Oreochromis niloticus: one gene and its partner. The protein of the gene in region 2 interacts with the protein of the main gene of each other region in a pairwise test. Links are inferred from orthologs where the notes say so. Each region holds a gene or a part of one and is shown on either strand. Other genes may lie near its edges.

Region 1 (15,531 bases), on a different chromosome or scaffold from region 2:
CCGAACAGACATTTAAGTCTAACGCCTCGATAGGTAATTCAATAAAAAGTCTGAAAGCTTTGTTGATAAGTAGCTTTCCAAGTTTTTCTTCAAAGAAAATTTTCAAACGCAACAAAATAAATGCATTTAAACTGCCTGTTTGTGACACTTTAGTTTCCTTTTGTTCATTTCACACCTGGAAATTTGATGTCGTGCCAGCCACTACTACCATTGTACAGATGAAGGTAAATGGTGTCTGTGATGTCTTTTTTCTCTAGCAGCTTTCATCATCATTTAAATTTTAATGCCATTAGGGGGACTCGTTCAATGTTACTGCAGCCTTATGCAATTCAAAAACACAGACAGACTCGAGGTTTAAAAGTGTTGTATTAGCAGAGTGCTGTATGGGTGTTGATAAGACCAGATAACACCATGTATGTACAGGGTGCTGTACATACACGGTCTTATCTCGGGCACATGGCATGACGGCCGCCATCAATTGGCAGGTTGACTCCAGTAATGAAGCTGGCAGCATCAGACGCCAGGAAAGCAATGCTGTGGGCCACTTCTTCCACCTCGCCTGGTCGACCGAGGGCATGGGTCTGCTTACACTTATCAAGGAACTGGTGGTAAAAATATAAAACGATAAGAAAATAATGTATAAAGTTACATTTTTGGTTATGCTGCTAAAAAATTAAAGAAATAGATCCTCACATTTGAGATGACTTGAGTTGCATGACTGAGATTCTATACATATTTATTCAGCTGAATACAGTAAATATTACCTGGGTATACTGTTCCTCATTTAGTCCCGCTCTCTTGTGGACATCGGTGATGATCACACCAGGACTGAACAAATAAAATCAGAAATGATTTTTTTCTCCCCATCAGAGTTTTGGACAGTCAAACAGCGCAGAATTGAAAGCAGTTTTCACACATGGACTCTCGAAAAAGTTTGGAGAACCAGTTCAGGAGTTTGAAGTTGCCCCTTCTGTGTAGCACACAGCAGTAGGTAAATGGACTGATACTTATACAACACCTTTCTATTCAGTGGAGCACTCAAAGCACTTTCTACTGCAAGTTCCATCCACCCAATCACACACAAAATCACACAGTGCTTTCTAAGCACTTTCTAACAGTGGCGCACACACTCGCACTCCGATGGATGCATCAGGGGTGCCTAAGAACACTTCGGCACAAGGCTGGATGAGTCAGAGATTGATCCACTGACCATTCCAATTGGGAAATGACTTGCTGTGCCACCTGAGCCACAGCCGCCAACGGTAGTTGCTTGAGATGTCAAATTCTTTGTTTGGTTTATACCAGGGTGCTGCGTGGTTAGAGCAGGCAGGAGGCATATGATGCCCACTTTGCTTGTGCTATTTTCACTATCAGCACTTTTAATATCCGCAATCTCTGAAAATGTGAAGGGCTGCAGTGCACGTTTGAAAACCTTGTGCAACAATAACATGTTTATTGCACTTACCAGACAGAGTTCACTCTAACCTGCTTTGATGCCAGCTCTGAAATTTAAAAATGTAGTTACATGATGGTCCATTCTTATGTGCCAATGCAAAGTTTTATATTGCTGTCCACATGAAGGTAATAAAGAGCTCACCAAGTGCTATGCAACGTGTAAACTGATCAATAGCAGCCTTGGACATGCAATAGGCCAACACACCAGGGAACTACAGAGAGAAAAATTACACTTCTTTGATGATGCTTTATAACACATAGCTTCATAAAGATAGTGCATATGGATGGTGCTGTTTAAATATTGCGTCTACATGCAGAGTACCCACTGATCTCTGTCCGTTCACACTGGATACATTGACGATGGAGCCTTTGGTCTTGATCAGGTGCGGTACACAAAGTTGGGTCAGGTGGTATATAGATCTGTAATATATGAACTAAAATTACTTTTAAAAGTCTTTGAACATTAAATATGCAGTTATGATTCATTATAATAACCAGTGCTTGCCAGACTGCAAAGGTCAGTTAACATCCTGACATCTGTGATTGGCTTCACCATTGTAGTAAAAGCAGTATCTCACCAGGCCTACATTAATCAGGCTACATCCAGTCTAGACAGCTGATGAATGGTTCTATTGAGATAATGTTCCTGTCGATAATGGCAGTGTTAAATCTGTATTTGCACAGAATTCACTTTTGCTTGTGAATTCCAACCTGTTTTTACAGCACAAATAGAATTAATGTAGGACTAAATGGATCCTACATTAGAAGGATTGGCCATCCTAAGTATGTAAAAAATCTACTTCAAAAGGACACCGTGTTCTTATCAATTGTTTAACATTTTATATTTTAACACCCTTACATTTTCATACATGCAGCTTCATTGTGTCCATGGTGTGTAAAGATGGTTAAACATGCTTAATTCTACTTTTCAAGCACGCAGGCACACATTAAACAGTACTGCTAAACTGCTCACAATATAATAAAATATTAACTGTTAAACGTCATGTACAATTTAGAATATTTAAATAAAATAAATCTCATATTCAGTTGAATTCAAATGCAGCATCTTAAAAAAATACCCTCACAGTTTGACAAGTATCATTATTATATAAAGATATTCTTAATATATGAAGAGTGCCATGTAATAAATTATTTCTCTTTCCCAGTTTTATATCTAACCTCTTCTTTAATCAACAACTATATGGCTTTGTGAAACTGATACCAATACATCTCCTACATAAAGCCAGGTCTCCTACCTCACATTAACGTTCATGACCTTGTCATACTGAGCCAGGTCTGTTGTCTCGATGCTGCCCATTGCCAGTATGCCAGCACTGTTGACCAGGACATCCAGCCGGCCGAAGTGAGCGATAGTTTTCTCAACCGTGCTTTTCACAATCTCCTCATCAGTCAGGTCTCCAGGAACGAGTAGAGGCTGCATGCACACACAACCTTTCATTAAGAACTGTTTTTTAAATTATTTATAAAGGTGACAAAAATGTATGCCTTCAACACTAAAGTAACAGTAAATACAGAACAAACTGTTTTGTTAAAGGCACAAATATCGGCCTGGTCAAGTAATAACAATAGTGGCACCAGCCTTAAAAACTGCTTCTTTACACTCACCAGTCACTTTTGTTAGTTACAATGCAAATATCTAATCAGCCAGTTTCTGAACATTTAGGCATGTAGACGTGGTCGGTAGGACCTGCTGAAGTTTAAAGTGAGCATTAGAATTATCCTAGTATTTTAGAAACTGTTGATCTACTGGGGGGGGGGTTTCGCACACAACCATCTCACGGATTCACAGAGAAGGGTTGAAAAAGAGAAGATATTCAGTGGGTGGCAGTTCTCTGGGCAAAAATAACTTGCCGATGCCAGGGGCCAAAGGAGAATGGCCAGACTGCTTGGAGATGATTGTAACTCAAAGTACCAGTCATTGCAACTAAGGCATGCAGAAGAGTATTACTAAATGCAACACATCAAAACTTGAAATAGATGGACTACCACAGCAGAAGACCACACAGGGTACCACAGCGGGTGCCATTCCTGCTGCTTTGGATGGTAGGCTCAGAATTTGGCATAAACAACATGAAAGCACAGATCCAACCTGCATAGCATCAAAGGTTCAGGCTGCTGCTGAAGGTGTAATGGTGTGAGGGAAGTTTTCTTGACACACTTTGAACATGAAAATGAGTTTGCACTTTGTTCAAATGGCCCCCAAAATGACCAGAATCCAACAAATGAGCTCTGGCACTGTGGTGAAATGGGAGATTTGTAAAATGGACATGCGAGGGACAAACCTGCAGCAGCTGTGTGATGCTATCAAGTCAATATGGACCAAAATCTCCAAAATGTTTCTTGTATGTTCTTGCATCTATGCCATGAAGAATTAAAGCATTTGTGAAGGGGTCCACCCAGCTACTAGTAAGGTGTAAATTACAAAGTATACAGTAAGTAGTAGTGCGTCTCTAGTACAAGCTTGTTTTTGTAATTCTGATGTAGTTACAAACACTAAAATTGTTTAATATCTTAGTTCTGCTCATTAAATTGACCTCCTGTTGGTCATTAAATTGACCAACAGGAGGTCACAGGAGGTCGTACCAACCGCCAGAAAATGTATAAAAGTATAATATTGTTATTACAGCATCCAACTTGTGTTTATTCAACTACATTATGGAAGTGTGTGCAGATATATATATGAAGCATACTACGTTATGTACCTCGTCGGCTCCACAGTCTGTGCATTCTTTGGCTACTTTGTTGAGGTTTTCCACGTCGCGTCCGTTCAGAGCCAGCAGAGCTCCGAGTTTAGCGAACAGGACGCTCGTACCGGCTCCGATTCCCGAGCTGGCACCAGTTATCAGGGCCACTTTCCCCTTCAGAGATGACACCTACAATACACAGCAAAAAACCTCCAAGTCTTTCTCCGAGGTATCTTAACTTGCAGAAATAAGCCCGTATTTAGTTCATTTTTGTTGCCCTTATTAGCCAGGTCTCTCTTGGAAGTTAAATTTAACTCTCAATGAGAGTTTTCGCCTGGATAAAATAAATGAATAATAATAAATATATGACCAAAGTCATAAATGAGCAACCACGAAGCACTGTAAACCCACGCAAGGTAATAAACTTACTTTAAACGCATCACCTGTAGCCATGATTTCTACCAGGGTCCGCGTGACAGTTGTCCACTACTGATGACGCAATGTGACGCAATAACTCCTTTGTAGTTCAAATTAGTTCTTAGGACTACAAGATGTGAAGTGGACACTCACGAAAAATATGCTGCATGTATAACATATTCTGAAAACATGCTAAAACCAAAAGTATTTTAATTACAAAAGTTTTTTATTTTATTTTTTTTAAATACGCAACATTGGCAATTTATTACATTCCCTTTTAAGACTAAACTTGAATAAATGGAGAGGAACCTGTTAAGGAAAAAAATCATTTCAAAACTGATTTAAAACACAGACAGTGTAAAATATGGACACATCTTTCAGGTCTGAAAGGTGCAGCAAACTTCAACCTGTAGTCTTTTTAACGACGAGCAGGAGGCGACTCTTAAAGTTGCAAAAAGACTTGCGTTTACAGAGAAGTCTATGGGGAAACAATCCTCAGCTCCTTTGTTATGTAACCTCAGCAAACACTTTCCTGATAACTTTGGGTTCACCTGCTAGTTTCAGGTTAACTAAGTAAATCATAATCATTTTGTAAAATATGGTCATTTTTAGAAGCACAAACTAAGAAATATCCAGGATATTTTCACTGGTTAACAACATATCATTCACATGTCAGTGCCAAGTGTGTGGCGTCCTTTGGTCTCCTGTTTAGATCCATCTCCATCTTGTGACAGTCAGCTTCAAAAAACAACTTTGAAACACTTCAGAATGAGACTTCACTAACCAATGGGTGACATCATGGCGGTTACGTCCATATTTTATTTTTGTTTACAAAGTTCATTGTTTAAAGGAAACAAGACATCCCCCTGATTTTTATATATTTTTTACATGAAGTTGCAAAATCAGGAACTACACCGTATAAAAAGTTAAGACAATTTAACACTTTGTAGCTTTGAAGTCAGCACCCTGCCCACTGTCTGGGCATGTGAGTGGACTCTCCAGTTCTACCATTTGAAAAGTATTTTGACTTTAGCAAGGCAACAAGCATTGTATCATATGAAAGTGAAAATCTGCTATCCAGCAAAAGGATTAGCATGAATGGTCACATCCTTTATCCGAGTTTCAGTCAGTGGTCGGAACGTCTTTTCATTCACAGGCAGCTTCTCCAGCTCATCCAGTGTTTCCAAGCCGTCTATGATCCTAAATTTTAGAGGGTAAGCAGTCAGCAAATGTTTCAATTTTACCTGAGGTAACAAAGCCAGTATGCAAGCCAACAAACCTCTTTTGTTGGCTTGCATAAGATGCTTACTTTCCAAACACTGTGTACTTCATGTCCAGGTGAGGCTGTTTGGCATAGGTGAAGAAAAACTGGGAGCCATTCGTGTTGGGACCATTGTTTGCCATGGAGACCACTCCTCTTACATTATGCTGAAATCAGAAGAACGAAAAACATTCCTATGGAATGATACTTGGGCAAAACCAGCTTAAACCAACTAGCTATAGGATTTACTCACTTTTAAGTGTTCACTGAACTCATCCTCAAATTTACGCCCCCATATGCTTGTTCCTCCTTTACCGGTGCCTGGAGGTTTTAATAAGAAAACAAAGATGCAATGAACAGGAAGTTCATTTTATATATTTTTTTTGCCACTTCAAAAACAATAACATCCCCGTACCTGTAGGATCTCCGGTCTGAACCATGAAGCCCTTTATATTTCGGTGGAAGACGCAACCATTGTAGAAGCCGCTGGCACACAAAGCAAGAAAGTTCTGCAAAAAAAACACCAGCAAAATTAAATGCAAATTCGTGTATTTGTCATGTTTTTAAATTACCATTTTACAAATGTTATTATTACATTTTTTTTTTTTTTTTAAATTTGCAATCTTAAACACCTTCATCGCCCTTAAGCATTGACTATCTTTATTTATCTGACAGAATACGATCATTTCTGAGTCTAGATTGTAAAGAACTTTATCTGCCAGAGGTGACCACATCACACCTCTTTCATCTTCATTGCAGACAGTATATCTTAGAACTGAGTTTTTAAATTGAGTTTTAAGGCTCTTTGTAGTCTTGTGCCATGCTGGAAAGTAATTCTGACACATCAGGTGCACACAAATCTGAATAAAGTCTGAAATCGGGTCAGTAACCTCTTAGAAATGTCCTAAATCAGTTCAATCATTCATTTGATTTGATTTATCAATAATCATCATCATTTACACCTGCATTCAATTCAGAACTACAAATTAATCTAACTGGCATGCCTTTGGACTGTGGGAGGAATCCGAAAGACCCATGCACACACACAGGAACAACATGCAAACTTCATACAGAAAGTTCCAAAACTGCATTTGAGCGTACTCTCATACTACAACAACACAAGGTCTAAGTGGGTTAGGATAAACTCCATCCCACCTACGACCCTGAATTAGTGGAAGAAAATAAATCGAGTGCTGGATGGTCTTACTTTTTCACGTAAAGATCCATAAAATGTAAGAGTGTTAAAATAAAAGGCTTGATTGCTAGGGAGAGTTAGGTTGAGAAATACATTTACCTCACATGCCCTCGGTGTGCGCTCACAGAACAATTCAATTTTAATGTCTCCTAGATCTGAGTGAAGTGTAACAGCCTGCAAAATAGACAAGAACATCAAAAACATCACGAAAACAAGGAATTTCTCCCGAACTTCAACTTCAACTACTTGACTAGCTTAGCCTGCTATCGCAAAGAACTACATTATTACACAATGCTTTAGGTGACTCGTAGCCTGTTTAGAACCGTTATAACGTAATACTAGGAAACAACCTCCTTTTGACAAATACCGACTGTAAATGCGACAATGAAACTCACCATTTCAAATGTTGCGTCTGTGAACAAGTGTGTCGAAGAAACATGTCCGTGTGGGGATGGGTACCCAGCGGTGAATGGTTCCGCAAACAAAATTGTTGTAGTTGTCTTTATTTTATATATCTATATATATATCTGTATATATATCTATATCTATATCTATATATATATATATAGATATAGATATAGATATATATATATATGAAACAAAGACAAATACGAGAGGGGCAGACAATTGAAACATTAAAGAAAAAAAAAAAATGAATCACTGGCACTAACAGTGAGGGGAGGGACATTTTGCTGACATGGTTTGGGCGTGGTTGGCCAGTTTCTGGAAATGGTCCTCGCAAAAAAATTTTTAGTGAGTGATCCCCTTCATCCTATGATGAAGGATTTTTGTAAAGGTGGGAGTGGTATCTTCCTGCATGACAATAGCTTTGCCCATGAGGGCATAATGGCTCAGTCACACTAGAGTACAAATAGGATAGCCAACTCATTGCGACAAGGAAATTTCAATTTGTAAAAGTTTTGGTCATGCCACTGCCTCAAACCTCTGTTTGAACGTGTGTGACTGTAGCATGATATGGGTCTTTGCAGCCACCATAAGGTCAGTTGAACACCTACAGTATGAGAGATGTTATACATATTTACACATTTGCACACAGGTCAGTATCTGCATCTACACACTAGTTTGATGTGCACACTTGCACATCAAGCTAAACCTTTATGTAATTTTTTTAACCCTTGTGTGATGACGCTATTAAGACATAGGCAGAGCACAAAGCAGAGATGAAGGTTTTTAAGATATATGGCACGTCAAGATTTGAAGAGGCTCTTTATAATGTCAGATAAAAACGAGCTAAATTACAGCATCACCTCTAATGAAAATTCCGAGTATTCAAGGCTTGGGTTTATGACATGTTCTCCGTGCTGGTGTAAAACACCTGAGAACAGATTAGTTCATAAAATCTTCAGAGTAAATTTCATTAGCACTACAGTGAGCAATTTCTGAGAAAAGTTTGTGCCAAAAGCCCAACAGACACCAAGACAAATGTGGCTTACTTCATTTTTTTTATTTTACTGGAGTCAGTGGTGTACAAGACATGAAGAGAAACATGTTCAAACACACTCAGTGTCGGTACTAATGCATTGATGATGTTCCTTTGGCAAAAAACAAAACAAAACAAAACTGCACAAAACCAAATGTGTCAAGATAACACGTCTGATTGTAATAGAGAAAGATGGAAAATTATTTTGTACCCAAATTAAACATTTTAAGAGGAAAAAATACAAATTAAAAATAGAAAACAGAAACCAAGGGGTAAGGTCCCATTATTCAGACATACACACTTGGGCTTTATCTATTGCTCACAATGAAGACACAATTCAGACATGAGATGTTTGACAAAAACACAAGCAAGGTCAAATAAAGTGGTTTCTCCTTGAAAATACAGATACATTTAGTTTCAATTCAGCAGTTATTATTAAATACACAAAACTAAAAAATAATGTATAGAAATTTGATATAAAAATGTTATCACAACTGTTTAAATTATTACAAATACCAGAAATAATAATAAAAAAATAATACCATAATAATAATAATAATAATAATAATAGACAGTGAACTAAAAAAAAAAGTGAGTACTGGCTGCTTTCCTGAGAAATTTAGTTCTACAATAATCCTAATAGATATCAAAATTAAAATAATAAAATTAGTCTAATAATAAAAATGAAAAAAAAAGAAAGATTAACAGTGACTAAGACAAAAACATGTTTATTTAATGTTACTACACTATGCACTGACCACTTATTTACAGTACTGATTGCAACAAATCACTTAGACGTGATGACATGATGTCCCTTTTAAATGGAATAGTCGATTCTCTTACTAAATAGGTGTACTGCTGATGTGTTTGTGGGTGTCACTCAAAATGCTCCACTAAAGACCAAAATCCATCTCTTTTTTTCCCTTTTTAATATTTCTATGTAAAAGCTTAAGCGTAAACTTAAATTTAATCTCGTGGCTGGCAGTCATTCAGGTAAACCTTCCCAAACTGGAAAATGCCCAAAACAGGTTTTTCTATGTGCATACAATAACTTGTACACTTTTGTTTGCAACATCTAAAAGTAAGTTCTGAGAGAAGTGCTATAGTGCAAAAGCATCCTTTAAGCACAACAATCTCTAATCTACTTAATGTGAAAATCTCACCATGTCTTTAGTAAAACCAATGTGACAAAAGGAATACAAATGCACATTAGAAATCTATATCATTACTAACAATACAGTTTAAATAAATGTAATACTGCACAACATAGCATAGTCAAACATGTCACGGTTATAGATGCGCATAGCTGAAATGTTTTCTATTATGTATATTGCTTCAGTCAATCTTTATTAGAACAGGAATTGTATTTTTCTTGGGGTAAATACAAGAATTTCTGTTGTGTGTTATGCTGCATCAGAACTGTGGATCAATATCAGATTCCACATTTTTAGCTTTGTCTTGGTCACTGTGTCAAAACAAAAATACAGAACAGTCACTCTCAACTGAGCAAAAACAAGTAAACCTTTACCTAAAAATCTCTTTCTTAATTAAAAACTAGTGAAGATTAAATCTGCCTTTAACTATGAGAAATAAAGTTTATATTTTGAGAAAAGAATGCACTGGTTACTTCCAATTAAGTCTGATTATTGATTTAAAAAACAAAACAAAACAAAAAACATATCTTTTCTTTTCCTTAACAGGAACTCGTTTCTGCAAGAAGTACATCTAGTACTAAAACAAAGAAAGGTATAAAAACAACAAACAGATAAAACCCTTCCCCAAAACCCAGAACGTCAATGACATAGTAGCTTATCTGACACCCGATCCATCACAACTCAGAGGTTATTGCCCATAAAACAACAAATGACCTCGATCTTGAGCACAACTTAGGTGAAGATTCACTGGGTGATTGTGTGTGCAAGCTTGATTATATTGTGACTAACACTGTCTTGTGAATGAACAATACACCATGGATGCCTGGCATAAGCTCAACAGTCTTTTGGACAGATGAGCTTTAAAAAAAAAATAATAAAATAAAATAAATAAATAAAAATAAAACATTAATAATAAACTACACTTTGTGCATCTTCAGTAACCAAAATCTAAACTCAACAGCTAGGTACAGCCTTGTAGAAGTTTTACCGGACATTTTAAATTACAAGGTTTGCTCTCTGCTGACCCCGACTCTTTGCAGTAGTTGTTAATAGTGAGGAACAAGACCGGTGATCAGATTTAAACCAACATTTAACCATACTCAATATCACAAGGTGAGGTTACAAGAAAAACAGAAACTGGGTATGTGTTGGGGTGGGGAATCAACTTAAGACATATTAAGTGTCAAGCATGGTCACTTCTGAAAATTTTGCAAGAAGTGACCCCCCCCCCAAAAAAGGAAACTATGACAATAGCTCCATCACTATCTGGGGTTGACTATTATGGTGCACTTTGAAAAACTAACAATTTTCATCTGACCAGACAACGGAAACATAACAATCAATTCATGACAATGAGAGGAGAAAATAAGGCAACTAATCTGATCGACTTGTAAGATTTACTTCATTTTCTTTTCATTTAATTGGAATGTAGATTGATTCTGTAGCAGTAAAATTTCAAACTTCTTTACTACTAGCTTTTTAATATCAGCAGAAAACAGTAAAAGTGACTTTTATCCTCACCTCAGTGAGTAATATGTAACATTTCCAACATTTAACGTTTAGGATGTGTGTTTTCTCACACATAGGTGAGCAGCTTCTTCACTGAACATTGCACACTAATGCAGTCCAGTAATAATAAAGTAACAGAATTTGAATCCTATCAAGGTAGAAAATATAATATTACAATGTTATAGTAACAAACTACAAATGAACATGAGGCGAGGTGCTTAAAAAATACATTTAAAGACATGATGACATGTCTGGTCTTTCTTATTTGTAGCTATTGAGCTATCATTGCTTATCACCAGTGATTCTTTTTACATCTGCTACAAAAAAAAAAAGCCCCAATCTCATTTAAGCCTCTACGTTTGACAGACATATTGCAAATACTTTCAGGCTCCATTTTAATTTCACCACTGTCATTCTGTATAAACTTAATCTGAATTCCTATGAGGCAGACATGACTCATCTCATTCAAAATCTTTAAGCATTCCCCCGCATTTTATTTTGTTATGTGCAAGTTATTGCAAACATATCATATACTTTTGTGTGAAAATGTTATTTTCCATTAAAGATATACTAGCAGTAAGGTTTGTATTCTGATATGCTTCACTAATACCATTTTAATGCTAGTGCAATAAGTGATATTCAGCAGAATAATTGCTTTTCCTTAAGCACTAGGTCAAACACACATCTTTCCATAGAAAGAGGGAACCGAACCCTCCATTCTGCCAAATTGTCTATTCTAGTATCAAAAGATGTTCAGCCAACCAACTAACAAAAAGCCCTTTAGCGCTACAATACTAACAGTGTCCTCTATGGCCCTCTTCTTCCCACTTTGTAAACCACCTTTAGGTACAAGGCTCTCAGTATAATTATACTCCACTCATCTATAGTTATTACTGTTTTGTTAAGTCATACTATCAAATCACTCTCAATAGCATCTTTGTAACTCAAAACAGGTGATTATCGTCTATATACAGAAATAAAGATGTCTTGGAAGTAATTTTGCCATCTCATTGTGCCTTCAAACCAGAACACCTGACAGAATATTTTAATGTATTAAACCTGATGTTTTTAGTATTGATCAGTGTTATTTTTCTTTTCAGTAAAATTGGCTCCGAGTGTTGCATACGCTGTCTTCTATACCATAATCGAGAGGCATAAAAATGTAAACACAAGATTCAAACTACATTATTGCTAAAAAGCATCATTACTGGATTATAATGTAAAGGCCTGAGAAGTTTTTTGTCAAGGAATTAATAAATCAAATAGACTAAGAAGACAACCAGAAACTGCCAGGATTTTGGTTCTACCAATCTGGCACTGGTTCTTGATGCCCAAACTTAGAAACGGCACAATGCAGCAGGAATACTGCCTGTTATGGCAAGCATCTGGGACCAACTTGTAGGTCCAGAGCCAGTAAATCAGTATCTGTACTTGCAGATGCAAACCTGTTTTTTAAGCTTGTTCTTTGTCCGCTTTCCACAACTGTTCCTTGACCTCTGTGGGCAGTGTGTTGAACAAGTCCTCTTCCACCACAAGACCAGTTCTCTTCAGCTGTCGGCACTCTCCAAGTTCCACTGGCAGACACTCTAGGCGATTTCCTCTAAGCTCTAGTTGTGTCAATGCAGTCAACTCTCCAAATCGTGATGGTAGAGACTGCAGGCAATTGTTTCCCAAGTTCAAAGTGCGAAGCTTCTTGCACTGGAACAGTTCATTAGGCAGGTTCTCAATCTGTATTTTAAAGAACAAGGGATTTTCCATTGGGAAAGAAAAGGAAAGAAATTATGACTTCTAAGTTAATTTATTGTTTTATCAGCAAATAAATAATACAAATAAAGCATTATGGATAAACTCCAAACTATAATTAGGATAATATTAAAATCTTTGGAAACGATGCTTATTACATCACTTACCCTATTAGCTGTCACTGCCAGGTATTGAAGATTTTGGAGGAAGCCAATATCTGTTGGGATATAGGTTAGGTTGTTATGGCTCAAATCCAAGAAGCGCAGCTTGCGGCAATAGAACAGCTGGCTGGGGATCTTCTCAATCTTGTTTCTGTTCAGGTACAGCTTCTCCAGGTTGTTCAGGTTGCCAATCTGAATAGGAATGTAGGCAATCTGGTTGTACCAGAGCTTAAGGCAGACCAACCGATGAAGATGCTGGAAGCTGATGATCTCCTCAATGGTCTTCAGGTTGTTATCCTTCAGATCAATCTCTTGCAAGTTGTGTAAACTGAAGATTGAGTGTGGTATGCGTTCAAGATCACAGCGAATAAGCTCTAGTTCTGTCAGATTTACCATCTTTTTTAGACTATTGAGCACCATGAGCTTGGTTCCTTCATTATTGATGGACAATTTCTGGAGGTGCATGCCCACATCAGTGACCACTTGAGGTAGCTTGGTGAGATTGCTCTTCAGACGAAGCACTTTGAGTCTCTTGAGCTCCCGGAGCCCATCAATGACGATGTAAGGGTTGTTCTCAGCACTGAGATTCCCTGTCAGATGAAGCTCACTGAGATTCTTCAAACTGTAGATCCATAAGGGGATTTCTTTAATGTCGGTGAACTTGATATGCAGAGACTTTAAATTTTCACGCAAAAAAGCCAAAGCTGGAGCTTCAATTTTGGCTGGGGTGTGATAAAGCCACATCTCTCGCAGGTTAACCAGCTGAGCAATGATTGGGGGAATGGTAATATCTGGGATTAGCTCCAGTTTAAGAACCTCCAACTCCATCAGATCGAACACTGTATCTGGAATGCCACTAAGCATGAAAAGGTGCAACTCCAACTTCTCCTGAGAGTTCTTAGTTATCCTCTGCCTGAGTTTGTCCAGTGTCCACTCGTTGTTGAGGTTGAGTTGCCTCAGCTTATTTTCGCTTACCTCTGAGAGGAACACGGCAAAGCGTTTGGAGTACAGAGGATCATACTGATCTATCATGTGCAACATGAATGCAAAGTCATTCTTCACATCAGGTATGTCACTGTAGCTGCTCTCTTCGCGGATTGACTCAAAGGAGTACTTCTTCAGGGAGCGCCGAAGCATCCAGCAAAGCGTGTACATGCAGATCAAACCATACACCACCACTAAACTAATGTAGAAACACGCTAAGATTTTAAAAAGTGTAGCAAGTGGGTGAGCACAACGGTACACGCTGTAACCAGTCAGGCTCTCTATATTTACAGAACAGTCAACACTAAATTGAATATCATGCACATAATACCCTGTGTAGCAGATTATCAAAATAAACTTGATGACTTTGATAATAGTCTGGCGTATGTACAGTCTGTATACAATGTCTCCTTCTTCCACGTGTATGCGGAACTTTTTCACTTTTTCAAACAGAGCTTTTGCCTGTTCACCCTCTTTCTTGTCCAAAACTCCTGTTTCCGTTCTATCTACAATGCCCTGCTCAAAGCGTGATTTTGTCCTTTGAAGCATAGGAACACTTGCTTCAACATCCTCACTTATTACAGATTCCTTGTGGTCCATCGAGCCATTCATTTTCATTGGTTTTGGGTCACTTTCCTCAACCACTGTCTCTGATAGTGCCCTTGTTGTCCACGGAGAATCGAAGCATTTTAGCAAGATAGATACAAAGTGTTCTAGTTTGGAGCTAGTCCGTGGAAACTTAAACCAAAAGTTGCTGCAAGCTAGAAAAATAAGGGTGTGGAGTAATACTAGGTAGGGGAAATACTTGGCAAACCAGTGCAATGTATTTTCATAGCAGACAGCATCAACATAATTGTACTGGTGGCGGTCCAAATCATACTGGATCCCTTTGGGCACTGATGATGTGATGCTTGAATTGAAGTTCTTCTTGCAGGTTTCATTGACCACCCATTTGCAGGGCAAGCAGATCATCTTGTCCTGGGTGACCTGCAGTGTTCCCCCAAAAACAGAAATCATGAGCATGACAATAGAGATATAGTCGGTGAAGACATCCCACCAAGGTTTCAGGATGCGGTATGCTGGCTGTGTGTCCACAAAGTACCGCAGCTCGGTGATGGGGATCATGGTTTATCTGTGGGAACGTAGAGAATGTAGACAGTGATGTATTGAATTAAAGACCCCTGTCAAACATCAGAACAATACAGAAATGTCTGTTTACAAATTAAACACTCCTTCCCTGTAGTGCTTAAGCAACCTTTGCCTAAACGACGACAAAAAACCTAGCAGAAAAATCAATACTATAATTCTAACTAACAAGGGCACACATCAGAACGCTGACCATGGTTAATTTGAAGGCTGTCAGGAGTAATGAATAGCGATTGTGACAAAGACTTTGGTGTTTAACTTTACTTGGTGGACTACCATGTTATTGATTTACCTATTGTTAAGCAGGCTCAATTAATCTTGCTTTCAAAGGACTGTCATACCAGACAAGTCATTTCAAAT
Region 2 (16,127 bases):
CTTTTACATTTGTCTAAGGTCACTTGTAACAACTGGCAGGATGAGGTGATACCTGGATCCTAGAGTTTCCGCAGGTAGTTCAACTCTTGAATGGCACATCACTACGTGTCATTAACAGAAGGTTTACTGTCATAGAAGAGATTCCAGGGGACAGACAGTTACTCTAGGGGAGCTGGACAGGCCATAAAAGGGCCTTAGAGACTGGTGTCTGCTCATTTGTGCAAAGAGGAACAGGATGAGCAGTGCAAGAGCCCCCCAGTATCATGGCAAAGCATGTGGACAGGGTGGACTAGCATGCCTATTACCCTCATTTTTCCCCCATATCTGATTGTTTTTAAAGTGTCCTGTTAATCTGGTGAGTAGTTTAATTGTTTTGATGACTAAAAGCTCTTAAGAGCCTAAAACATTCCCCAAGAAACTGTCACTGATAAAAGAAAAGGGCATATTAATTGGCATGTTAGGGCTCGTCTTTAGATGTTTTCTGACTCTTCAAAACTTGTGATAATAAATAATAAACCAACAGGGTCCTTTAAGCAGCTGAACAAGGTCTGAACATGAAGCTAATTACCAAAAATATCAAATGGCAATAAAACCTTTCCCTTTACACTTAAGAACGTGCAACTTCAGACATCTGTGCATAGATGTTGGAGGGGTGTGCTAAATAAAAATCAGATCAGTGACATATATGATGTGAAGATCATTCAAGTTCACAGTAACATACAACTAGAGATTAACTACTACCTTGATCTCCCTTCGCTCCCTTCTCTCCATCCTTCCCATCTTGGCCGTCCACCCCGGGGGGCCCATGGGGCCCATGGCCCCGGGTGATCCAGGGGCTCCTGGGTTCCCTGCAGGCCCCGCTGGGCCCGGCAGACTGCAGACCAGCTGGGATGAGTGGATGGTGAAATTCCGACCTCTCTTAGATGGGGGATTTGTTGACTGCGAGACGACAACTGACAGCACATAGATCATCACAAACATCTGGAGCATGATGGGAACTGTAGAGTCACAACGAGGCAAGGGGAAGCAACTGTTTACAACAATTATACTGACTTGAGTTTTGCAGCCATTAATCAGATGATGCAAACATCTGGTAAAAGATTCCTGGAGTCAACCAGAGACTAAAACCTAACACAACATGTGGACGGGCATCTAGATGGCGTGGTCATTTTCATGCTATCACTCAGTAACTAATGACAAATGTGATGGATCTGTTATATGTTCTGGTTACATAAAAACATGCAGCTTACAGCAGGTTATATAAAGGGAGTGTGTCAGCCATTTTAAAAGCACAGAGTAAGAACTCACCAGTTGAGAAATTATGACCCATGGGTATTTTTCAGCTCTGTCCGAGCCCTTTCTCTGCATCAGAGCGCACAAACCTTCCTACATTTCCAGCAAACGATTGAGGCAGCATTCTTCAAGAGAAGCTCTGCAGAGAAATGTGCAGCCCAGAGCCTCCGTAACATCCGCCCTGTTTATGCGAGTGATAGGCCAAAAAAAAAAAATACTTTCACCATGATGTCATTACATTCAAGTCAGTGCAACAGCTGAAGCAGTGACACATCAGTGGCTCACAAACTCTGCTGTTAGGAAGCAAGACATTACACAACGAGGGCTAAAAAAGATAAAGCAGAAACTTTTAGCTTGTTACACTTTATGCATTTAGATACTAATATCCTCAGAAGCGGTCTAATGTTGCAATAATAGAAAAAGAAAATGAAAAAAAAAACAAAACATTTGCGTTTCCTTCTCTTATTAAGAGCACTAAAATAGTCCTGCACTGTACACTGCAAAAAACACGTCTGCCATGTTTTAGGTTTCGGACTGTGTTCATGTGTAATGCACGTGGATAATGTGTGCACCTGGTTAATGAGGCACACAAGGACAGACTTCTCCCTGCAGTCTGAGATAAGGCACGCTGGGATTGACTGCTTGTTTTTGGTGTCCTCTTCTCCACCTTGGAACCCTCATCAGGGCTTTCCAGAAAATCACCCAGTGAATGAAGAGGTAGCCATCTCATCTTTGCATTCATTTTTCTGTTCAGTCCATTAGGTTAGGTGACGCTCTGGGTGACTTTTTTTTTTTTTTTTAGGTATTTGAGATTTTATTCATTTCCCTTCTTTCCCGCTTTATCTTTGCCCTAGTTATGCTTAACACACATCCAAGGCTTTAAAAAGCAAAATTAAAAAGTACATAATTATTTCTTTTTTTCCCAAATAAATTATCCAGAATTGTTCGTCGCTGCTTTGAAGCAGCATTTCATTCAGAAGGAGAGCGTTACGAAAGGTAAACACACCTTGCAAGGTTCAGTTTTTGGTTTTTAAAAGCTTATGCAGTAAAATAGTTCTAAAACTCAATTTACATGTGAAAAACCGTGTTACCTAAAATAAAAACTAGACTTGGCGGGGGGGTCAAAACTAACTGTGACATGATTTTGTAATCCTGGCAAACGAATACAATTAAATTAAATACAAATATTGATGAAATGTCTTTAGTTTTTGTTTGTTAGTTTAGTAAAGTTACAGCTTTCCCCGATGAGGTTTTAACTGACATCTCTAATGAGAGTTTGGAGGTCTACAAGACTGTGAATGAACTGTTTTCAGAAGCTGCGGGATTTTTGTGTGAAACTTGAACTGATCTTCTTAAATCTTGCCTCCAGCATTTGCCCTCTGTAAAATGATATTGTGCAAGGCTAAAGCTAATAGTGAAAAAAGCAAAACATTAAAACAATAAACAATTAAAAACTAAAGTGAAAAGCACAGGCTCAAGAGAGTCAAAATGAAATTTAAAAATAATAAATAAATAATTAGAAAATACAATAACTAGAATAACTCTGGTGGGCACTTTTACAAAGAACTGTGGATTTAGACCCTGATCACTTACACAGGGAACATGATCACTGAGCACATTACATAAACGAGCCGTTCCCTACAGCAGGGATTCAGTGAAGGGTAGAAACCAGAAGGGTAGCTTCAGTTTCATTTTGGCCTGTAGTGGAGGTCAGTATGAAGTAATCCTCTGCTTTCTCTTCAGATCAGTACTTAAATCGATGAAGTCTCAGACCTGACAGAAATGTTGGAAATGCCTTTTGAAGAGTTCTTTCCATATTACTTTCTGTTCTTGTGTACCAATTTACAAATCTCCCCACATACTTAAGTTTCTTCCATGTCTTTCTTTGGATCTGGAGTCCATAACTGGAAAACATGATATGTATACACAGCCGTGTTAACAACAGCTACTGAGGTTCAGCAAAATTAAGAGGATCAGCCGCTTGATGATACATGTAGGCCTTGAAAGCCAACCCCAAGTCATGTTTCCATCCATTGCTCATACCTCATGTACAACCCTCCGCCCCCGCAAAAAAACAAACAAACCCAACAACAACAAAAAACCATACATTCAGGCAAATGGATTTTATTATAAAAAAAATGCAGTTACGTTTCTCATGTTTCCTGTAAAGACTGAATTTGAAAGGTTTGAAAGTATTTAAATGTCTCCTGTTGAAGCGAAACACCTTTTTTGTTGTTGTTCTACATTTTATGGACCTGAAGCTTCAAAGCAATGTGTCAACATTAACTTTTACAAAATACTGTACACAGTTTCTCCAGCACTTCTTTCCAAAACACAAAACTTGAGTGAATGAGGGATTTTATATTTTACTGAGCAGCTGCTCTAGTAGAGTCCTTGGGGAGAGTTTAGGGGAATCTGCAGGGACTGAAAAGGTCACTGTCCCAAGAAGGAAGCCATGGGATCATCTGGCCTGCTGCGTTTCATGCGGAAGGCCTCCATCTCCTCCTCAGTGGGCGCCTTTACTTCAAACAAGCTGTTGTACGGCCTCTTCCTCTCATCCAGCTGCATTAGCACCTCCACCTGCTTCACCCGCTTGTCCTCTGCTTCTAGGGCCTGAGAGGGAGACGGCGGTTGGAGGTCAGACACGGAGAAACTCATCAAAACAAACACGGCAGTCAAACAAAAACATCACCTTCTTCAGCTTTTCCTTCTTCTTCTCCTCATCCTCCGAATCACTGCTGTCAGAGTCGCGCTTCTTGTTCTTTTTGTTCTTCTTTTTCTTCTTCTTCTCTTTCATCTTATCTTGATGCATCTGGAGATCACGAATATTTTAATAATGAACATTACATTTAAGCTTATTAACATTAACTGCTGCATTTTTTTAAAAAACAGTGTCCCTTACTTCTAGCAGAGTCTTGGGCTGTTCCTCCTCCTGTGGCTCAGTTAGTACCTCTTCAAATGGAGTGCACTCCGAGTTGTTCTGCAGGGGTTCATAAAAAAAAAACACAGTTGGAAAGTGAGAAATCTGTGACCACTTTATAAACTGATATCCTATCCATCAAACAAACCCTTCAAATACTCTCAGTAAATGTACTTACAATTCCAATTCCAGCTGATCCTGTGCAGTAACTCTGTTTGACCATGGAGTGGCAACACTTGTACCCCCAGAAGCCGTCTTTCCAGTAGGAACCCCAAATACACTAACAAGGAGATATGATCTTGATTTTAGGATAAAACATAATTAAAATGTACAAAAATTAGCCACACATTTGCTACAGTCTGCCCTCCTTACAGTGTGGTTGTTGATGAGCACGTCCTCCTCATATTTGGAGCGAGCGACAGCCTTTTCGAGTCCTTTCAGCACAGCGCCGTGACGTGAATACTCCACGTAGTCCTCCGTCTGGGCCAACAGCAACTCCCGCGGTGGTGCATCCAAATGCTCCTGGCCTCCATACTGATTGTCACACACAAGAGCAGAAACATCATCAGTAAAGCCCAGGCTGTGACTGATATGGAGTTCAGTCTGAGATTCTGATATATCAGCCGATTTTTTTTTTCTTTCCGATATCCCTAACATTTTTAGTTATTTATTTTCTCCTTTACACAGCTGATCCAAGCCCGACTGCTCAGATCGACTGGTTGTTTGTGGCGTTCTCAAACGTGCTGCCAACAGAGAAGCTGCAGAGTGCCATCCGGTGGACAAACTATGCAACATCTGCAATCATAAGATGGTTGAAGAATGTTTCTCCCATCTCTCATGTATAGTTCACTCTTATTTTCATTTACTGGCCATTATAAATGCTCATATCAATAAATCCTTCAACACTAGGTGGTGCTACTCCAGCTTTTCGAGTAAGGGGGGGGATTCAGATTAGAATTGGGAACTCGGAAACTACAAGCGAAGTGCAAATAAATAAACAGCCACTTCTAGCAATCTACTAGTTTCCACACCGTGTTATCAACAGAGATTAAAGACCAAAAAGTCACTGAGGGAGCAAATTTCACTGACTGGCTGGTAAGGTTTGCTTCCAGGCGTGTGTGGTTGCACTGAGTGGGTTTTCACCTCAAACCCGGGAGGTTTGCTGGATGAGGATTTAGGGTAAATGGTTTATGCATCAGAAACTGTTCAATAAACTACATTTTTCCAGACATACTTTTGAGAGGCATATAGAGACAGTGAAGTTAAGCTGCAATGGAAATATTGGAATACTGTTCCTGATCGTGTCATTGCTTGGCTTTATGCATGCTGCGTCACATATTTGGAAAAAATAAATAAATAAAAAATGTAGAGGCCTCATCCTGTTGCTAAATAAATATATATCAGCCGTGTACCTTCTCCAGGATGCTCTCCCTCTGTTCTTCTTTGAAGTCCTCCTTCTTGACCTTGAAGGAGCGATGCAGCAGCTCCAGTTTGGTGGGGTCAGCCTGCAGATGCACCTCGGAGCCTTTCTCATAAGCCTCCCAGGCAAACACTGTCACAAGGCAATGACAATTACAACAAATTACACTCTGTGGTCCTATCAGATAAGAAAAAGCTCAGATTTCATAATTCATTCATAATTATCCTTTACTAAGTAACTAACTGAAACTGTAACTGCCTTTTGGTTTCTCATATATAACATACGTGTGACAGGAGAGGCACTCTTTTTAATTTAGCCATGTCTAAATAGATGTATAGATGTTAACCACTATTGTTAGCAGGCTGCTTTTTACATTTTTGCAGCTGATTTTTACTCTATAAATGCTGATTTTTTAAATTTTTGGAAGACTTTTGGTAACCTATTATAATCCAGTCAAACATTCAACAGTTTTGATCACAGTGGCCAAAAATAAATAAATCTCTAGAGTTATTTCCAATATAAGTAAAGTCATACTTCCAAAACCTAAAGAGTTAAGGTTATGAGGTGTTTGAAAAGAAGGAACCATAACTTTAGGACTTACATTGTGTTTGAGCCATGGAAATTGTGTCTCCACTGTAGCGAACAAAGTTGTCTCCAGCGTACCCCACTCTGTTACACAAAACAGTTCAAAAATGATTTCAGTGTCCACTCAGTTACTGGGAGACTATTTCTACTATTCTTCTGTTGATTTTATTTAAAAAAACCAAACCAAAACAACAACAACAAAAAACCCAAACCCATAACTTACTCATCAGGGTTCTTGCCCGTGTTGGAGTACGGGTTCTCTCTCATTGCTCGGGTCTTTGGATCGTAGTACGCTGAATTTGGATCCAGATTTCTCAAGTACTGTGAAAAACAGACACGAGGAGTTCAGATTACAGAGAAATTAGTAAATTGCAGTACCCCATCTTTCATATACAGAACTGCTGAAAAGTCATTTGATTTTTTTATATTTCACTTGAAAACAAACATGAAGGAAACATGCAAACACAAATGAAACACAACATATGATGCAAAAACAGAGTCTGTGTAACTGCAACAGCCCTCTGAGTCAATATTTGGTACAACCACCTTTATTCATTAACACAACTCTCTTAGGCAGCCTTCTTGTATTTTCTGTAAGTCGTCTGCAGTAATAGTTCTCCAGGCTGCTTGAAATATTCTAAGCTTTTTCATGTTCACAACTTAAACAAGATCCCGATATAACAGTCTTGTTGTAAGAAAAATATAAAAGGAATATGGTGTGGCTCAGAGCTTTTACACAATAATGTGGGCGGTAACACGGTGCTCTGTATTCATTTTTTCCTGTGTACACAGTTTATCATCAGAGAAAGCACAAATGACTAATGTTTTACTACGTGGCTCTTACTTTAGCTGTGTCTTCTCTGATACGCAGATTCCTGACAGTGATTCGTCTCTTGGAGTCAAAGTTCTGACCGGGCATGTCGATGTCATCTGCATATTTGTCTTCATCCTCATCTTCACTGTCATGTTCCCGCTCCTACAAAGAAAGAATGTAAAGTTATTAAACTGCAGTCTGATATTTGCCTCCAAAACTGGGAAAATGTATTATTACCATGTTAATATGAGTGAGCACTTACAGTCTGGTCCAGTTTTCCCGAGGCCAACTCATCCTGAAGTTTCTGTGCTTTCAGTGTCCTTTTGGCCTGAGAAACAAATAAGAATTCAGTCGTGTGGTGGCGGACCACAACAACACCGGCTAACCAATGTTTTGACCTCTGGAGTTCAATCATGCTGGTCCGCTTACCAGATCTACTTTGGCGTACTCTTCAACAATGCGCTGATGTTCCTCGGGGTCGTAGCCATTCCAGCGATCACGCTTTCCATCATAGTCCATGGCGAGCTGGATCTGAGCGTGTTCATCTGGAGCAATCCCTGTTCCTGTGAATTTAGCACCAACTTTTCTGGGTCGCTGGTGTGACAAAATGAAAGGTAAGATGCTAGCTTAGTACAAATAATATAACAATAATAATAATAATAATAATAATGATAGTAATACGCCTTTGACATCCAGGATAAGCAAACCCTGAATATTAATTTGTTCCAGCAGATAATTGTAAAACTGTTTCATCGGTTTTACCTCCAAGCAGTCTTTCTTCTTGTGTGTCATGGCACCACAGTTTTCACAAGCCCCTTTACGGTACTTAGTTGAAACTGCATTCTGTGTGGAGACACAAAGTGAAGCTTTTAGATTTTGTGGCAATATATCTACTTCTGTGTCCACATGAGAGGAAAAACTCGCCTCATTCTCACCTCCTGCACTCCTCTCTTGTACCACTCTCCGATTGCAGAGTACTGCTTCTCATTCTCACCCTGTGGTCTTTGATGCTTTAGTGTGGGCCTTTTTGATGGGTCGATGTACCACGGCACTGATGAAATGTACTGTGGGATGTGGGGGTTTATGTCCCTGTAGGACAGAAGCGTTCACGTTACAAATCACATCATTCCTTCCATCAGCTGCCTGAAAGCACACACTTTCTGCCCAGGCAAAAACTTACTTCCCCTCCTCGTCCACCTCAGCTGGAGCATTTCCCAGCTTTCTCTGCTCCTCCAGCTCCTTCTTCTTCCTCCAGTCCTCTCTGGTCATCTTCTTGGGCTCATCCAGGCCCACGATCCCCTCCGAGTTAACGCTGGTCTGCTCGGTCATGTCTGAACCTGCCGCCAGAAACACGCCACCGGGGACGCCGTCACGGGTTAATATAAACACCCGTCCTGTTCACCTATACTCAGCAATTATGTGCTTCCCTTCTTTAAAAAAAAAAAGACTAAAACTACAGTTTTTATAGCAGTATTGGCTAACCTAGTTTACCTGCCCAATGACGTACATGTAGAAGAGGCATTTTACTTCATTTCTGTGAAAGTTAATAAACCAGCTCACTCACTTACCTTGATAAGGCTCCACAAATAAACTTGATGTTTATATTCTTTCCGTAAAATCAGCAACTTTCCCTTTATTTGACCCCTTTTTTAAAACTCGTCGGTTCTGTTTTGACTAAAATGCGATCGTCGCCATTTTACATCAACTATAGTTACGTCACATCCTTTCTGTCGAATCGCTGCCGGAAACAGCGACTTCTAGCGGACATAGTCGGAACATCAGGCCGACCGCCGCTCCCTCTGCTCAGAGTACACCACCTCAACCGCAAGAAATCAGGTGGTCTTTACTTTCTTTTACTTGGGAAATTTCATATCAATAAAGTTGAAGCAATTCAGTTTCTAACCCTTTATTTGAATGTTTTTTGATCTGATATCTCAAGTCTAAAAAAGCATAGCTTAAACTATATTGTTAAAATTCACTCAGAAGTGTTTCTCTGAAGAACTGTGTCAGTTTTATGCAACATGTAGTCTCTAATGTGGCTTTAATTTATGATTTCTCTTAGCGAAATGAACTTGTGTGTCTGTACATAATTACTGGCCACGTTTTAGGTACTCATTATTACAAATCTCTAATCAACTAGCCACATGGCAGCACCTGAGTGTATTTAAGCATGTAGAAATATTAAAGCTGGTCGGGCAATAGAAAATAGTAATCGTGTCCATTCCTGTATGGCACCGTGTACCCATCTTCTGATGGCTGCTTAATGGTGTCACGTCACAAAGCTCAAATCCTCACAAACTGATTTCTTGAGCATGATGACTTTAAGACAGCTCTGAAAGCACAAAGGTGGTCCAACCCAGTAAGAGCAATGTGTATGTGTATAAAAGATGCTTCAGAAAAGGTTCTTCTTGTTACATGTGGACAGATCCTTGGATACTGAGATCCAGTAAGTACAAGGATTTTATTCTAATTTAGTCAGTGCAACAGCAGCGCGGTTATAAAACCAACACTGGCGACATCTGTGATTCATGTTTAGGTTTTGAGAAGATGACGCTTTTGTCTTTTATTTCTCTGTGCCAAAGATCCTGAGCTGTGAGCTACTCGTTGGAAAAAACAAACAAACAAACAAACAAAAAAACAGAAGGAACCAATCAAATAAAAGAAACTGGGGTAGTTTTTGTTGTGAGAAGATCATTTATAGCAAGAAGACTCCAGTGGGTTTATTTCTGCATTCCTCACAAGCACCAGGCGCGTACTCCCTGTGCCTAACTGTAACACGGACATGTGAGAACAATGTTTTGAGGACTGCTCTGATTGGAAAGACAAAGTTAAGACAGTAACAACAACATAAGATGCCCTTAAGATGACAGTTTGGTCAGGTGAAGCTTCCCACCTTTTTTCTTATATTCCAAACAGGGTTTTTTTTTCTTAAAAAAAAAGCCAAAAAATGTAAACATTGTTAAGAGAAACAACAAGAGAAAAAAACAGCACCAGACACATACATATCAACAGAAGTAGAAAGGGGCTGAGTAAAGCAGCCGTCGAAGCCTTAGCACCAGTACTCATCCCTGCTGTCAGTCCAGCGGTGTGCAGATGAGAAGGCAATGTTGTACCAAAGTGAAGGCAGTGTTGCATTCAAGTAGGTACCAAAATATGAAACTCTTTCAGGCCTTTCAATGTCTACTGAGAGTTTTGCTGCTGAGATATAAGGAAGGACAGGATGAACAGTCACTTGTCATCATCCTCCACTCTCCCCCAGTCCTCCTCGTCCTCACCCTCCACCTCTCCATCGTCTTCCTCCACATAATCACCCCAAGTGTCATACTCGTCTCCGCCCTCCTCGTCCTCCTCATCATCATCCTCTGGCAGATTTCCTCCATAAGGTGGCTCATCCTCCTCGTCCTCTACTATCTCCATCTCCTCCATATCATTCTCCTCGTCATCGGCCTCTTCTTCTTCTTCGTCTTCTTCATCGTCGTCGTCGTCGTCATCGTCATCTTCCACGCCCTCGACGTCCAACCCGCACACTTCCCCATCTTCCACCTCCCCGTCCTCTCTCTCTGCCTCGGAGGAGGCAGGAGTGGGGAAAGCTTTCTCGTCAGTTCTGCCCGTGAGGTAGGACCTGCCGGAGGGGACGAAGCTTGAGGTAGCAGTCTTGGTGTTGATGTAGAGACGAGGAGGAGGCTCTTGCCTCGATGAAGTCGCTTGGCCAGCTGGGGCGGAGACGGGAGCGGAAGGACCCGCTCGTCTGGTGACGGGGACGAAAGAAGGGGCGACGGGCGAGGCAACAGCCCCGGGCCTCATGGAGGTCGTGTTGGGCATGTATTCGCGTATCTCCCCTGGCTCCAGCGGGTCGGGCCCACAGGGGTCATGCTCGCTGCAGGACAACTTGCCGTCCAGCTTGGAGATGAAGAGCATGCCTTCTCTGTGCTCCTTACAGTATGAGTTGGGGCACATCTCGCAGAACGAAGCCGCCTCTTTGCCACATACGTCACACTGGTGCCATGGACACTCCCATCGGCCTGCAGGCAAATCAAATGTGGAATGAATACAGTAAACATGCGCAAATAGTAAGATTTTTGACTCACAAATAGCTAACAAAAATATAATATTTAACATTTCTCTTCAAGTTCACATTCATCAAAACTACATTTTATTTTTGCCTTTTTTTGGAGAACCTTCACCTCAGAAACCACCCAGTCACCTCTGTTTGCTCCATGCATGCTCGAGGATATTCAAACCCCCTGAGAGCTCGATGTAAAAACGATTGGCTACACACGGCTATCAAATTGTGTGCTCTCCTTAAAGTCTACTTGCCTGCAGGCCTCTTGGCCAGGTTGAGGCAGTCAGCATGATAGACCTTTGGGCAGCCCGGCTTCTTACAGGAAACTATCTGACCCCCGTCACCACAGCTGAAGCACTCATCTTCCCTCTCCTTGGTCACCTCTTGCTTGGTCTTCTTCTTCATGGGGACCTTCCGTTTTCCTTCCTTAGGTTTCATTTTCTCAGCTGCTGGCTGGTTCTATACGCGGACGAGGAACGGGAAGGTCACAAGGCAGCTCTTCTTGTAAGTGCGGTCAGAGGATCATTTAAATGAAGGTAAAGTTGTGAATAAATATAAAGTTTTACCTTTGGCCGGACACCCAGGAAACCGCTACAGTTGGGTGCTCCACATTTACAGGCAGTCTTCCCGTTGCCACGACACTCCAGGTTGTAGTTGAAAGTCAGCTCCTCACCTGAAATAGTTGTTGCATTAGATCGGATGTGTAATTAAAATAATCTGGATGATCTTGTTAAATACAACCCTCCCCCCTAAAAATTGAAGAAAGAAAAAAAACCTTTTCAAACCTTTTGGGACGTCTTGTAAAGCAAACAGCCCCACTCTGGTGTCCCCATTCACAGTCCACTTCTGAGTCTCACAGTTCGGCTGGCAGCTGTGGTTCATGAAGCGAGCCTGGTTGCCTTTGGGCCCCGCGTCAATGATGCGATCCTGGAGTGAAAAAAAGCGCAAATGAGTGTGGACACGTCATCCGATCTGCACTGTTAATCAAGCGTGCCGCGTTCAGGCTGCATCTGTTAGTATTTGACTCAGATACTTACCTTGTCCAGTGTAAGCATGTAGAAGTTGCAGATGTCATTCTCCTGAGCGTGCCTGATCCTGGCACGGCATTCTTCTTCATCTATCACCTCGCCCACGTACTCACTGATAAAAGCTCCCTGGGAAAGACAAAAAGAGACGGAGAAACCGAGGAATGAGTAAAATGTGGTTACAACTAAAGCGATCAATGCTGGCCTGATTCGTTTCCGACCCACCTTCCTGATGTCCGACAAGCCGCGCAAACCCCAGCCGCAGGACAGAGTCCTGAAAATCTCCACAGGTGTGTACTGGCGCTTTGTGAAAGATTGATTTTGGCATCGGTCCCCTGCCGCGCACACCTGAGGGTGACACTCGTACATCAGCATACGGTTAATGCACTCGGAGTCGATGCCGCACGGGTTCTCGTCAAGCGCCTTGCAGTTACATCGTGGAACCTCTGAGAGGTCAGCGGTGATAATCTGCACCTTCCCAATTGGCCGGTTTACCTAAGAAACAGAGACAGGGGTGAGATTTTAACAGCACGTCTCAGTTAACTGCTCTGCCGTGGGCTAGATGAGCACAGATGTACACACGGTACCCGAATGTGTCGGTATGGAGGAGGCTTCTTGTCATTCTTTCTGTCCTCCTGAAGCTGCTTCAGCTCCTTTTCTGCCTGAAGCTCTTTGAACCGCTCGGCCGCTTCATTCAGCGCTACAAAGAGACACACGATCTTTACTATTAAACATGCACCTTACACCAAGAATCAACATGCACTCAGCAACCTTAAGCACGCACCCTTTTTGTACACTGCATCTGCACCCTTGCCCATTTTTTCTATGTTGTGAGTATCGCCCTCCATGTAGGGAAACACTCTGGCCTGGTATGTCCACACGAAATCTTTGGAGCCAAAGAACTGCACCGGGAACTCCCCAACCTCATGTTTCATCCTTAAGATGTTATTTGGGACCTCTTTGGTCAGGCAGACCTCAGCAGGCCACCACCTGAAGAGACACAGCGGGTTTCAGAAATACAAATATGGCTCCAGTAGTTGTTGGGCAGAGCCTCTGTGTGATTGCCAGTGTTGTTAACCTACCTGTAACGCCCCCACTTGACCCACAGGATGTCCTTAATACGGGGCTTCTTTCCAGCTTTGCAGTCGTTGCAGAACCAGCTACCCTGTGGCATCTCCATATTCAAGCATTCCCGATGGAAAGCAGCAGGACAGGCTTCACAGCACAGCAGACTGCCCCCTAGAAACACAACCCGTGAGCGATTAGTGAGCTTTTTTTATAACATGTCATAATATGGCCTGCAACAGTCTGTAGTTATGTTTGGAACAATGATTATAAGGTCACACAGGCCTGCAAATTTTCTTCTAAGTTGGTAAGGGAGAACAGTCCATATCACATATAAGCATTTGTGAGGTAAAACAAGCAAATAAGCACCAAGCTGAATATTTATCAGCAGCAGCAAGCTAATTCAGTAACTGACTTATTATAGTGCCACTACAAGTGACACTAATCAGTACAAATGTAGATACTCAGGACTAAATGAGGTGAGTCGGAGTATTTAAATGAGATCAGTGGCACTAATTTAAATCAGTGTCAGAAATAAGAGCATTAAACATTAACATGTTACTTCAGCAGTCAAACTGTGTGTTTTTATAGCTGCTGGGTTTCAGAGGCAGATTTGTGAGTAGAGACAAGAAGCAGAAGTAAATTTATAGATCCATTTGCCAAGTGGGAGCATTTAAGTGGAAAATGGGACAGAGCATAAAAATAATTTGGAGCGCATTATGTTGAATTGAATAATAAAGCCCGGCGCTGAACAGCTGCCTTTCTTTGTGTGTGTGTTTTTTGTTTAACATTTGAACGGTGGAGACGGTCTGTTGAAAGCTCATATTTTAATCCTGAACTCATTATTAGACATGCACATGCTACAAGACTGCGCTGACCTTCAGAGCAGACAAAGCACCAGCTAACGTTGATGTGCTCGTGGTTCTTGCAGCCTTTGCGAGGAGTGAAGTGGTTTGGACAGAGGAAACTGTTGTTCGCCAGCACCAAGCTGCCCGCTGCCATGCAGTTGTCGTTGGCGTGATAGGCGACGGGACAGCGAACGCATCGAGCCAACCGACCTGAGAGATGCAAAAGTGAGAGGAAGCACGGCTTAATTCAGGCACATCTGGATTGTTTTGGTTTTTTTTTTAAACAAAACAACACATACCATTTTACACACTTTCACTCCAAATGTTGTCCCTGGATTTGGAACATAAGACTCAGTCTTACAGGATTATTAAGAGAGATCGTAGTACAAAGCACATGGAAGGAGTCTCGTCAGTCCACTGAATTAAAACTCTGGATTACATGCCAAAATCCTGCACAGTCAGTATTTTATGAAGCCACTTTAAACTGCTAAAAATCAAGGATTATGATGTGCACTTGGTACTGTAGGTGAGGCTATAAGTGTCAAAAAATCTCTGGCTAAATGCCCGATTTCACATGACACACGAGCAATGAATCCAGTTATTACACATACTCAAGTGTCAGCCTGTGCTTATGCAAAGACACTGAGTCATTCATAAGAAAAAGCTTAATCACAGAAACAAATCCTAATATCTCCAGGCATGAAGTGCAAAGCCCTTAAATAATCCAGAGTTCAAAAGAGGCCATCAATATTCAAAGTGACATGCAAACAAAGACTGTGTCCAAAATCACGTAACCTGTTGTTCTTATTTAAGAAACAAGAATCCTTCCTGTGGTTGGCGAGCATCAAGATTAGAACAGCAAGGTGAAACTATAGGGCCTCTAAAACCCTGCAGTCAGAGCAGGGTTTGAGTTTGGAAAGGATTCAGTTTGTAAGAGATTTAACACTACGTGCTTAGATCATATTTAAAAGGGCAGAATTTTTATTTATTTATTTATTTTTTAGATGTTTTCTAGTCTAATCTGGCCTTTCTTTGTTTGTGTGTATCAAGTGGTTTGTATGCTGAGATAAACCCTCGGCATTTCCATTCATGCAGCCGCCTCTTTTATAGACCTTGACAATGATGCGCCTGCCTCGTCGAGTGTGTTCTTGACTCGGCTAGATGTTCTGAAAAGATGTTTTTTATCCAAGGAAAGAATTCTGCAATCATCCACTTCAGTCGTTCTCTTTAGTCCTCACGGTCCTTTTTTTCTTGGTTTGGCAGTGCTCATGAGTGCATTCCTTTTAAGAATAAACCAAGGTGTTGTTGATGCGCTCACTGCTAAAGTTTCTGCTATTTCTGCTATGAATCGAAGACTTCCTTTACTTGCATCAACACCTCTTTGGACTGGATGCAAATTTTTAATAATAAACCTCGGTGAAAATGAAGAAATAACTATCAGCCAGCTGGAGAACTACTTTTAAGCACATTTCCGTGGGAGCTGTTTAAAAGCCACTTTAAGCTGCTCCCCTATTCACAAGGGGCTGGCCACAGCGGGTAGCTCCATGTTTGATTTGGCAAATTTGAACATCGGATGCTCTTCCTGACGCAACCACAAAATGGATTTTTGTCTCCTCCCGGGAAATAAATGACTGCAGTTACTAAACGGACTGATTCTAGTTGTTAAACCTTCCTAATTAAAGGTAAAACACTACACTTTAAATAAATCTTGACAGCTCTATTTTTAATTCACTGTCCTGTTAAAAAACCTCACGTCACCTAGTTGTAGTCTTGCAAAAAACGACCCTGGTTTCTGCAAAATCTTAAAACATCCTAACATAGAAGCATCTTCTGGTGTATGGTAGGCCTAACCTGGATGAGGAGAAAGTAGATGGCTGGTTGGATCAAAGCCAGCAGTGGCGCTCACCTTTAGAGCTGCAGATGTTGAGGGGATTGGTAATGTGGCAGGACAGGCACACATGCAGGGGGCAGCGGAAGCCTTTGTTGTGAGGCTGGGTGGCCGAGTAGGCCATTATACAGTCCGTGTGGTAGAATTTCCCACACAGTGGGATTATGCAGCGCTTCACCCCATCTCCGGACTTCTTACACACGAAG

The links.
Region 1: the proteins of slu7 (region 2) and ppil3 interact in binary tests that used the Homo sapiens proteins (3 or more experiments, as listed by UniProt). The link is inferred for Oreochromis niloticus from reciprocal best matches to the Homo sapiens genes SLU7 and PPIL3.

What each region holds. Positions count from the first base shown.
Region 1 is NC_031977.2:29,284,189-29,299,719, forward strand, and holds ppil3 (peptidyl-prolyl cis-trans isomerase-like 3), read right to left. Parts: upstream 7,522-15,531; 5' UTR 7,432-7,521; coding exon 7,429-7,431; intron 7,208-7,428; coding exon 7,133-7,207; intron 6,348-7,132; coding exon 6,254-6,347; intron 6,160-6,253; coding exon 6,092-6,159; intron 6,006-6,091; coding exon 5,887-6,005; intron 5,778-5,886; coding exon 5,651-5,777; 3' UTR 5,183-5,650; downstream 1-5,182. Other genes in the region: uncharacterized protein zgc:101858, read right to left, coding at 444-602, 765-828, 1,466-1,502, 1,598-1,667, 1,782-1,875, 2,712-2,890, 4,179-4,349, 4,590-4,613; lrrc8ab (volume-regulated anion channel subunit LRRC8A), read right to left, coding at 12,590-12,865, 13,048-15,150. UniProt on the Homo sapiens protein: PPIases accelerate the folding of proteins. It catalyzes the cis-trans isomerization of proline imidic peptide bonds in oligopeptides. May be involved in pre-mRNA splicing.
Region 2 is NC_031966.2:26,437,843-26,453,969, forward strand, and holds slu7 (pre-mRNA-splicing factor SLU7), read right to left. Parts: upstream 8,766-16,127; 5' UTR 8,601-8,765; intron 8,370-8,600; 5' UTR 8,362-8,369; coding exon 8,213-8,361; intron 8,122-8,212; coding exon 7,968-8,121; intron 7,876-7,967; coding exon 7,795-7,875; intron 7,627-7,794; coding exon 7,462-7,626; intron 7,361-7,461; coding exon 7,295-7,360; intron 7,195-7,294; coding exon 7,063-7,194; intron 6,540-7,062; coding exon 6,442-6,539; intron 6,303-6,441; coding exon 6,235-6,302; intron 5,766-6,234; coding exon 5,626-5,765; intron 4,748-5,625; coding exon 4,586-4,747; intron 4,494-4,585; coding exon 4,392-4,493; intron 4,274-4,391; coding exon 4,196-4,273; intron 4,106-4,195; coding exon 3,986-4,105; intron 3,907-3,985; coding exon 3,727-3,906; 3' UTR 3,402-3,726; downstream 1-3,401. Other genes in the region: nsd1a (histone-lysine N-methyltransferase NSD2), read right to left, coding at 10,261-11,054, 11,350-11,554, 11,662-11,768, 11,881-12,022, 12,133-12,249, 12,346-12,615, 12,708-12,820, 12,905-13,110 and 3 more. UniProt on the Homo sapiens protein: Required for pre-mRNA splicing as component of the spliceosome. Participates in the second catalytic step of pre-mRNA splicing, when the free hydroxyl group of exon I attacks the 3'-splice site to generate spliced mRNA and the excised lariat intron.